2 linked regions of the Drosophila melanogaster genome follow. The protein of the gene in region 1 interacts with the protein of each later gene in a pairwise test. Each region holds a gene or a part of one and is shown on either strand. Other genes may lie near its edges. The genes, in order: htl and stumps.

Region 1 (5,020 bases):
GCTCTTCCTTATTTTCATTGACAGCTTCAATAGCCCATCTGTTTATCTATTGCAACTGAATAAGTCTAGCAGTTAACTTATTTTTTGGTTGTTTAATCCGCTGGTCGAAAGCGTTTCTCATTGGCATATTTCGCATATAATTGGCTATAAAAATTCATGTTAATGTGCAATTAATCATATTAGCAATTAACTTTATGCTGTTTGGCTGCTCTGCACGAGATCTCGACGAGCTGCGATCTGCGAGATGGCTGCAGATCGTGTCGCCCAACTCGAAGATCGTGTCTCCAAAAGCCTGTTACCGTTCCCGATTTTTCATTTCCCATTCGCAGATTCCCAGAGCCAAATGGCCAAAGGCTCGACCAACCAGACTTTGAGCCAATTTCCCAATATTTATTTCTATGCTCGAAACGCTAACAACTTGCGTTTCGTTCTGGCCAAATTGAAAAGCCATACGGAAGCTGAAGCTGCGATCGGCAGCCTCGAGGAGAAGCACTTTTGGGTAGCCAAGAGGAGCCCGGTTTGGAGCCAGGTTGGAGCCAGGAGGCTTGCCCAGGAGTGCATAAAATTTAAGTATTATGACCATACACACTGATCGGTGGCCGTCTTTAACCCGTGCTTTCCCCGGTCTCTCTGCGGCTTTACGAGGTTGTTAACTGTTGAAACTATGCTAACCACTCATGGGGATCCTCCCTCCCAATTCCGCCGTGGAGCATCAATTAATCAGTCAGGCGTAACGCCATTTGGCACTGAACGGGTCCCGTCGGCCACAATTGATGGTCAATAATCGTTAATTGTTTTCGATTTTCGGCCAAAATCCCCCCTGCGTCATTGTCCATTGTTTGGCTAACCCTTTTCGTTATTTTTGGTGTCTCCATAGAGACAAACGCTAAACGATGCCATTGTCTTTGGCGCACAGCGTGTGTGCTTTGATGGCCTTTTCACCACGAGTGTCATTCATTAGAGGGGCTTTCTTCCATCGCCACTTGGCTACTGGTTCTTATGTGTCTGTTGGCCATTTGACATTGGCTATAAGTAGCTCATAATTAATAACTGCTAACTTACTTAGCGAGCTATTGTGTTGGCTAATGAATCTCATTCCGCATTTTCCGCCTCAAACGAAGCGCAAAGAAATGCGCAAAGAATTTGTCAGTAGAATCTTAGGCCCTCATAGGCCATAAATCTTTTTAAAAAATAATAATAATTAAATTCAAGTGACTGATCTATTCTGACTAAGATAAGTTAGCTATTCTTTTTAATAAAGCATGATCCATCAAACCAATTATAACTACATAAATAATTGATCTGAATATAAGGAATCTTTTTGACAACTACCCATCTTCTTTGCACCCTCATAATGAAATTCATGAATTTCCTCGCTGCGCTCGAAACTATGCAACATATTGTGCGTTAGAATATCTTTGAGATATTCCATTCGACTCAATTGAACGAATTTTAGAACGAGTGCGGTCTGTGCACTCAATTACATTTCACTTTCCAAGGGAAGGCCGCCACTCAGCTACACACTTGTGTGTGTGTGTGTGTGGGTCCCCCATATATAGGGTATAGGGGCCCCTATACCATATAGTACCATACATACATATACCGCATACCCAACCCCTCGCTTTTTCGACCCTTCCTCTCTTTGGCTGCGGATTATACAATGTGTGGCTGGCGTTCCGTTCAATTTTGTGTGTTTTCTGTATTTGTTTACGCGCCTGCCGCAAAAATACATTGCAGAGATGTGTTCTCCAGCATGTTGAAGTTGATGGGGGAAATGTGAATTCGTTTCATTTGTTCCCTCATTTAATTGAAGAGATTTATTTCGCAGAGCTGGCTCGGTTCTGTTCGGTTCGCTTGCTTTTTTTTGACTCAGTTGCGATCGGACTGCGTGCCGTTACAGTAGGCGAAATCGGAGGAAAATCGTTGGAAAATCGGTTGGAAAATCGTTGGAAAATCGGTGAAAAATCGTCGAAAATTAGAGCGAACGATCGATCGATTGAACGCGTAATAACGCCATATAATATAATTATACTAATAATTATTAGTAATGCCTCTTGGTGAAAACGCACACATTTTGTGGATGGAAAGAAACAAAACAGAGTCAAGTGTGCAACGGTTTCTGGTTCTGTTTAAGTGCCTAAGTGCCATATAAATGCGTACTAAAACATTTCTGGAATTTTAAGTGGAAACATTCTCGAATTCTGTGAACTTTCCCAATTGTGTTTTTAGTGAAAGACTTACAATTTAGACGAAGGCAAGGAGAAATTCCAACGCAGAGACACTTTGGTGGATATTTGGCAAGAAGCTTTTTGGCATTTTTTTTTTTTTGTTCGTGGAGCAACGCACTTTGTGAGGTAAGTCTTTAAAAATACACACCGTGCATCGTTTAATTTAGTTTATTTTGTTTTTGGTTTTTTTTGCGTAGTTGCGCAAATCATTTGTTTGATCCACTTTTTGATTGACCGCGCACAGCAATTTGACTTTTTAACCCAAAGGCCAAAAAGTGTAAAATGTGCAGTGGTTCGGTTCCAAAGCAATTTGTGTCGTTTATCCCGCTGTGTGTGTGTGTAGTCAATCGTTCAATTATCTATTCTCTGGCTACCCCATAATAATACAGTGAATATGGACAGTTGTGGGCTCCCCATAGTATCTGTTTTTTTTATTTTTTATTTATTCCATTCGGTTCTGCTATGGTACATGCTCAAATTGAAAGCACTTTTCCACAGGGTTCCCATTCTAATTTATATTTATTTATTTGCTTTTACAAGCCAACCGATGCCCCAGAGCTCGGGAAAATATTTCAAACTCATAATTCTGTTATATTCCAACGCTCCCTTAGAATGGGATTTTGTTTATTAACCAACAGCATATAGCATATATCGTATCATCTAGAGTCTAGATTCTAGAATGTAGACGGTATAGGAACATGCAATATTTTCTAGCCGCGTAAACAAACATTTCAACTTGTCTGCTCTTTGTCCGACTTGCTCTATATCTGAGTGAGTATATAGCTAAAGATATAGCTATCTGTGTGTATATATATGTATATATATATATTTATCGGGTATCTGTTTTGTCGGTCGGTTAGCTTTACGATGCCATCTTCTAGGTGATTCGGCTTCTGTTTTGTTGCCTTTGGCAATCACTCAATTTGCTGGCCGACAACCGAAGACGCTTCTTACTTTTCGCCTCCCTTCTCTGCAATTTATTTATGAATGATAATTAAGGTTAGGTTTGTTTAGCTAATTGTGCGGCCAGTTCCCGGTATTGTTCCCATATCATCTCAGGTGGGATCCACGCAGACTTTCGGTATGATCCTTTGATCTTTATGATGTTAAAGTACAAATGTCACGAGAATATATGCTTGCTATATAATATTAAATGTTTTCATGAGAGTTTATCATAAAATCAGTGTTTACCAAATAAAGATTTCGATTTAGAAATAGATTTATGTCAACAATAAAGTAATAATGTTATTTTTTGGTATTATAATATATTATAGCTTAAGCTTATCAATGCTACAGCACTTTTATAATGGATTTTGTTGTCTAAATGTTTGTGAGTACTAATAAAATTTTAAAGCTCTAAATGGCAAATTTACAAATATATAAGTAAAGCTTGCAACAATTTAAGAATAGCACATATTTATTTCAACTAAATCTGTTGAACGTTCTTTATATAAATCGCTGCGTGCTTTATATTTCTGAAATGTAAATCGAATCAATAGTTCACTACTCATATACTTTGTGATAATTTAACGTAGCTTCGCGTTTTTGATAAAGTCGACTTGCCACAATCGACCTTTCGCTCCATCTGCTTCTTTTCGTTTACCCCATGGGATGCAACCTTCTCGCCGTCACGTACTGAATGGTATATACTAGATGAACGGGTGGGGATGGATGGATGGATGGATGGCTGGATGGGATTGGCATTGGGTGGCTGATGGCTGGTGGAACCTGCCGACGAACCGTGCGAAATAACAGACTCGTGCCGGTCTCGACTTGGTATCGGATACACTGAGCGGCAGCGGGGCAACCGCCAAGTGCGTCAATTGCGGGTCAACCCGTGCGATTGAAATGGATGCGCCAAGTGACCGGCGATTTCAATTCGATGGGAAATGTACATATACCGTGCAATGTTTGTATACTTTGCAAATACTTTCCGGAACGTGTTTGTTTATAAATCGGGCGATTTTGGACGGCACAGGAAATACATACATATACTAAAATTGCGCGCTCATTATCGATGGAGGTGAAGGTCGGAGGGTGGAGATAGAATACCAAACATATATACAATTTTTGGCAGTTTCCGATTTGGCGGATGCCTTCCTGGAAGTCAACATTTCGGATAACCCCATCATTTAGACGCTGGAGTCGCTACTTCCCCTCGAGAATCGACGACAATGTCTGTGCAACACATGTGGCACGATCTTAGGTAGACATACGTATATGTACATTCGTGTATGTTCGATGCTGATGATGTGCCCACATGTTGCAGTCAACAATAGAGCAACAAATGCAAGCCGAAACAATATTTGCCCTTGTCTCTGCTCTGACTCTGACTGTGGGCGTGGCGACGGGGGCGGGAGAACAGAGACAACTGAACACAGTAGTCTTCTCCGCCGGCCGTTATTTTTGTTGCTTTTAATTTCTTTAATTTTTTTTTGTCCGCCAGATGTGGGCTGAATGTTGAATGCGGACTGGAAAGATCAGACCCAGAACGCGGAGAGAAACTGTGTCTGTTTTAATTAAAGATGAGAGTAATACCCAGTGCAAACTGAGAGATACCGCCGATACTGAGATACAAAGCCAGACGGGGCTGGCATGTGTGGAAAATTAAGGCTGCCGTTGAAAGCGAAAAGATGCGGGACGCTAAAGGCAACGACCATCCAAACAGAACAGAACCGCAATGTGAATGAAAAAGCGAGCTTGTCAATTTATTGACTATAGCATACCTGGCAATTTGGCAACTCGACTTTACTCGAAAAAAAAAAAATGTCCTTTATAATGATATACCAATA
Region 2 (5,199 bases), 3.5 Mb from region 1:
AATATCTTAACTTTTCAGGATATAACATGCTAAGTGTTATATTATATAACATTAAAGTTATTTCTGCCAGTGTAACGTTGCAGAGTCACTTGCTCCGCAGAGAGCCGCCACTCAAAGATCAACCCTCGATGGCAGACTCTCGCCTTTATGGACTACGAAATGTGCAATTTCTGCTCGGGTACCGAGTTTTACGATTTTTCCATAGGTCCCAATATGCCGGGCATCTGTGTGGTAGGGGTTATTTGGTTGTTGGCCCAGTATCGATGGCAGGCCCGATTTTAGACCCAGTCCACTTAGGAATTCCACGGACAGACCACATGGACTCTCTAGCATTTTGCCACTTCAGTTGTTGCTTCAGTTTCAGTTTTTTTTTTCCTAGTTGCACTGGGGAAAAATGTGAAAATGTGTTCCCTTAGCACAATTGTTGCTCTCCCCTGGCTGCAATTTTTAATGTGCCTTTTCCGATGCGCGTTCTTTTTTTTCTGCCTTTGATGCTCTCGAGTTTCCCCTAATGTGGCTGGAATATGTCGCCTGGCCATAGCTTCTATTATGGCCTTCTATTTTCGGCCCAACATTGATGACAATTTTCATATTTGCCATAAAGTCGAAAGGCAAATATTGCGTATCTTCAGGACAATTGAAGAAATGCTCCAAATATGAGTTTACTTTATGCTAATATATTAATATACAGCGTAAGTAATCATCATATTTTTGATGAATTTCTGGCATCTGTATCATCAAACATCCTAAAACTCTTTGTATAATTTTTTTTTTTTGTATTTTTTCCCATGATATTTTGGAAGATTAATTCTCCCACCGCTCTGCGAAGGTGAGTTCTCATGGTCCCTCCCGAAAAACGTCTCATAAATGTTTCCTGACAGTGAACATCATCGAATTGAAGACCAACCCAACCACAGACAACACTCGGCGCACAAACTCAAACTTTGACACTGATAGAACATGGGGAATACTAAACCGGGGGGCTCACCTCAGATGCTACAATATATATGATGATGGTATATGCTATGTGCGCCACATCAAGTTGGCTTATATGCTAGATGGGTCTTCTATTTCTGCTATCGGAACTCATCAAATATGCACGACGAGACCAAGACAAAACGTACGCTCACGGATGGAAAATGGGAAAGGGACAGGAGACAGGGACAGTGGACAGGGGACAGAGGACAGGGAATCATGGATATCATGGAAATCATGGACTCGGAGCGCGCTGGCGATGATAATTTGATCATGCGAAAAGCGCACGCAAAAGAAAAACATGCGCAGGTACAACAACAAAGTCGTTGTAGTCGAGGAAAAGTGAGTTTTCCTGATCGCCGATCGGTTTCTAGGGGTGGGGGAGTACCGAGTGGGTGATGGCAATATGGCAACCATATTTAAACACTGATCCCGTATGCGTGTGTGCGTGCGCGGGCGGGAGCGAGATGGGGTGAGAGTGCGAGGGAGAGATGCAATGTTTTTATGCTGCTGCCGATGTCGCTGCACTGTGAGAAAATAAGAGATGAGAATTGATTGATCTCTCAAAATGATGTACAAATTTATTAGTGAAGACACAGAAACAGACATAAAGAAATCAAATTTACCGATTAAATATTATTATTTTATTTAATTAATGTATCCAGTTCAAAATCTTGTGGTACTTATTTCAAGTAATTTTTTGTATCTGAATTTATTAAGAAAATTATGCCTAACAGTTTCGCTTAGAGAATTCGAAAGAAAATATTAATATGAGAAGGTGGGATTTTTCGGTATATTTATTTTTATCAGTGCACGCTGAGAATGGGAATGGATGAAGAAGTGCGCGTATGGTAAATAAAAACCAAAACACGAGGAGGGATTCTCTGCGTCGGCAGAGACGTCGACAGAGACATCGGCGGTGGCAGAGGAAAATGCAGACGGCGCGGAGTGTTTTGTTCTCGTTGAAGTTTTAGAATTTATTCCGTTTCGGGATGTCAATGCAGACGCACGCACTGCGCGAACTCAAGTGAACTGAAGTGAAATATTAAGTCGAACCATCACGAACTTGCATTGCCGCCTAAATTTGAATTTTGAATTTATTTGCCCCGTTTTTTCAAACTGACAATTTGTTAAGTTGCCATTTGTGGCACTCCCCGTTGTGATTTCCGTTTACGGTTTCTCGAATTCGCGCCCTGTGCGCAACTTTTGGCGCGTGCGCATGCGCAGCCAGTGAAAGTGCAAATGCATCGCAAATCAGAGCTCTGAATTGTGGTAGACTCTGCGAATCGCATATCAACTAAGGAAAAATTCACTGCATAAAGGATCTCAAGATGTTTGTCACTGTGGATAACACAAACACCTTCTTCTCAGGTAAAAAGAGTGAAAGAGTTTCTTAAAGACTTTATAAGTTTCTTTATGCGAAAAGAATTGTAACAAATATCAAAGTTTTAAGTTAGAAAGTATGAGCAAAAGCGAAAGATTATACAAAGATACAGAGATTCATACAGATTAAAAACGTACATATATGATATTAAATAAATGTTATTTATTATACTTTATAAGCACATCCTCAAACTTTGATAAGTTCAAATCAGAAAACTAACTCCATTCCTCATTCATTCTATTGCAATTGAACTCCCCAGACAACCCGTATTACTTTTGCAATGAAACCAAGTCGCCGCGCACCCCGGACTCGCAGTCCTCCAGCCGGGGATTCTCGATCTTCAAGCGGCGCAACTCGAAGGGCAGCAGCCCCCGGCCGCTGGTGATGACCAATCCGGAACAGATGCGACTGATCACATCCGCCAATCTGGATACCACGGCTACCATGGCATTAGGAAGTCCGCGGGGCAGCTTCAATTCCCTCGCCGGCTATCCGCAAGTGAGTAGCGATTTAATAGAGCATATTCCGATCTCCGATTTCGGAATACTGATTCTGATTTATCTGCTGGATCTGCCACTTCCTGTGGAGTCGAGTGAGCCCTTCTAATGTGCCGTCCTCTTCCGTTTTGCGCATTTCAGCACGCGATTGAACTGCAGACGATGAACATGTACCGCCAGCGATCTGCAAATTCGCACTCAGAGTTCCGGGAACGCCTGAATTCTTGCAACGAGACCCACAGCTCCCAGTGTCCCGGAGGAGGAGGTGCATCCGTAGCTGGGGATCACGACGAGGTCTTCAATCCGCTGACATCGCCAACAAGGTGAGCAATCCCCAGAATCGAGCATTTAATGGGGAGGGTGAGGTGATGACAGGATGCGATTGCAGCTGTTGACAGTTTCGAACCGCCCCCTTTTCCGCCCATGCTAATCGTGCGCCCTTTCTTTTCTCCCCCCACCCCCCATCTTTGCGACCAATCCTCAGTAGCAAATCGCATCGACATCACACCCTGCCAAGTGGCGGAACTCGTCGCCATTCCCTGGGAAACTGGGCCCAACATCAGCATCAACAGCAACATCAACAGAACTCTGGAGCAATGGGACTGGGATCTCCGGATGAGGTGCCCAGCATGATGGCGCCTCGACCGCCGCTCCTCTCGCCAAACAAATTCCGCGGCAGTTCCCATCGACGAAGAGGTGAGTTGACGTTCCACGACACTTGCATTTCCCATCTGCTCAGTATGCCACGGGGCAATCGCGAATTCCTATGCTAATCTGGGCTCAATAAGTAGAAGTAATCCATGTAAATGGAAATCGTTTAGCAAAGTTTTCAGATAATAGAAAAGTCGATAGTTGACAGCAAACGTATATGGATTATAGGATATGGCTGTTATGTCCCTAAAGGAATAAATTTTGGCTCACAAATTTTTAATTTTCTTTGAGAGCTATTTTTTAAATATCTGCTTATTGCTGTGTTATTTAATTTACTCGAGTCTAATATACTTTTAGTTATTTTAATATGCCCCACAAGTTCAGCCGACGCAGTGACAAAGACAAAGTGGTTGCAAATTGCATTCCCTGCCCTCGTTTCGCGTTCGCATTTTTGCACTTTGGCGGCTGTCAGGCGTTCACTCCCCTTTGCCTGCTACTCCATTTTCATGCCCCAAAAGTCCTCCCTTCTGGGGTTTTCCCCCCTGTTGACTCCTCCAGTGGCTGCCCAACAACCTTTACCTCGCAGCTTTGCATCACGTTTGCATATTAAGCGCAACTGCCAGCTCTTCGGAATTTGTTTTTTCATTTTTCGCCTGGCAGGCGCCATGGAATTGGGTCCACTACCCAGCCCCTTTCAGTTCGCCCTCACATTTAAACCACGTTAACAACATTGCAATGTTTACGCAAGTGATAATTGTAATAGTATTTTGTCGCCAGAGCGTCGCCAATCTTTGTTTTGGCATTGTTTTTCCCCGGCAGTGGAGTGGAGCTTCTGTTTGCCTTCGATTTTGTGGCGTAATGAGGGGATCGCATATAGCCGATCGAGCGTATATATAGCTGATTGTTGGCAACGCGCCTTCCTGGCTGACTGACATTTCGCGACTGGCCTGACATTGACAGTCCTCCGTGTGATGGATGCCCCTAAAGTGGGCAGTTGCATGCAAGATGGAAAGGCCTCCTGGTTTACTCGTATGTCCAGCAAAAGTCACAGGTTTATGGTTTATGAGTCGCTCAGGACTCCTTTGCACGATCATTGTGTATTCATCATAAGCGTTTTCAAGGTTTCGCTTTCATGACATCTGATGATTTAAGTTGATTTAAGGCACTTCGTGTGACGTTTAAATCCAGCGCGATTTTCGAGTCTCAAAAGAGATGAGAAATAAGTAGTAGATGAGATACTGAGGAGTGTTTCATACATAGAAATTCAGAGCATGTAGATCTGCTTTAGAAGTGCCGCAATTTATTAGAAGTGTGCCATTAAAGTTTTTACTATTATAAAAACAATAGATTCTTTCCCTTATTGTTATTGTTATCAATTATAATAACGGTTGCCCACAGCGCCTTATTCTAAAAATGATCACCCACCATATTCGACACACTTATCGCTATGGTCACTTGCAATCCATTCGAATCTTTCGCCATATGCAGGAAACTAGGCAATTCGCCTCAATCGGCAATTAACCCACAACACCCACGAACAATTCATTTCTAACACCTAAATTTATGGCAAAGTAAAAACAAACCGAACCGAATATCTCTGCCATATTTGCGAGTGTCCCACTGCAGTTGCCAGTTCGATTGGCATAAGTTATACGCATTTCCGCTCTTTCAATAACAATGGCCATTGCATTT

What was found.
Region 2: the proteins of htl (region 1) and stumps interact in a two-hybrid assay, tested with the Drosophila melanogaster proteins (2 studies listed by BioGRID).

What each region holds. Positions count from the first base shown.
Region 1 is NT_033777.3:18,049,836-18,054,855, reverse strand, and holds the start of htl (heartless), read left to right. Parts: upstream 1-1,871; 5' UTR 1,872-2,354; intron 2,355-5,020. UniProt on the Drosophila melanogaster protein: May be required for patterning of muscle precursor cells. May be essential for generation of mesodermal and endodermal layers, invaginations of various types of cells and CNS formation.
Region 2 is NT_033777.3:14,589,664-14,594,862, forward strand, and holds the start of stumps (stumps), read left to right. Parts: upstream 1-1,956; 5' UTR 1,957-2,306; coding exon 2,307-2,346; intron 2,347-2,618; coding exon 2,619-2,857; intron 2,858-2,997; coding exon 2,998-3,179; intron 3,180-3,340; coding exon of another isoform or gene 3,341-3,343; coding exon 3,344-3,552; intron 3,553-5,199.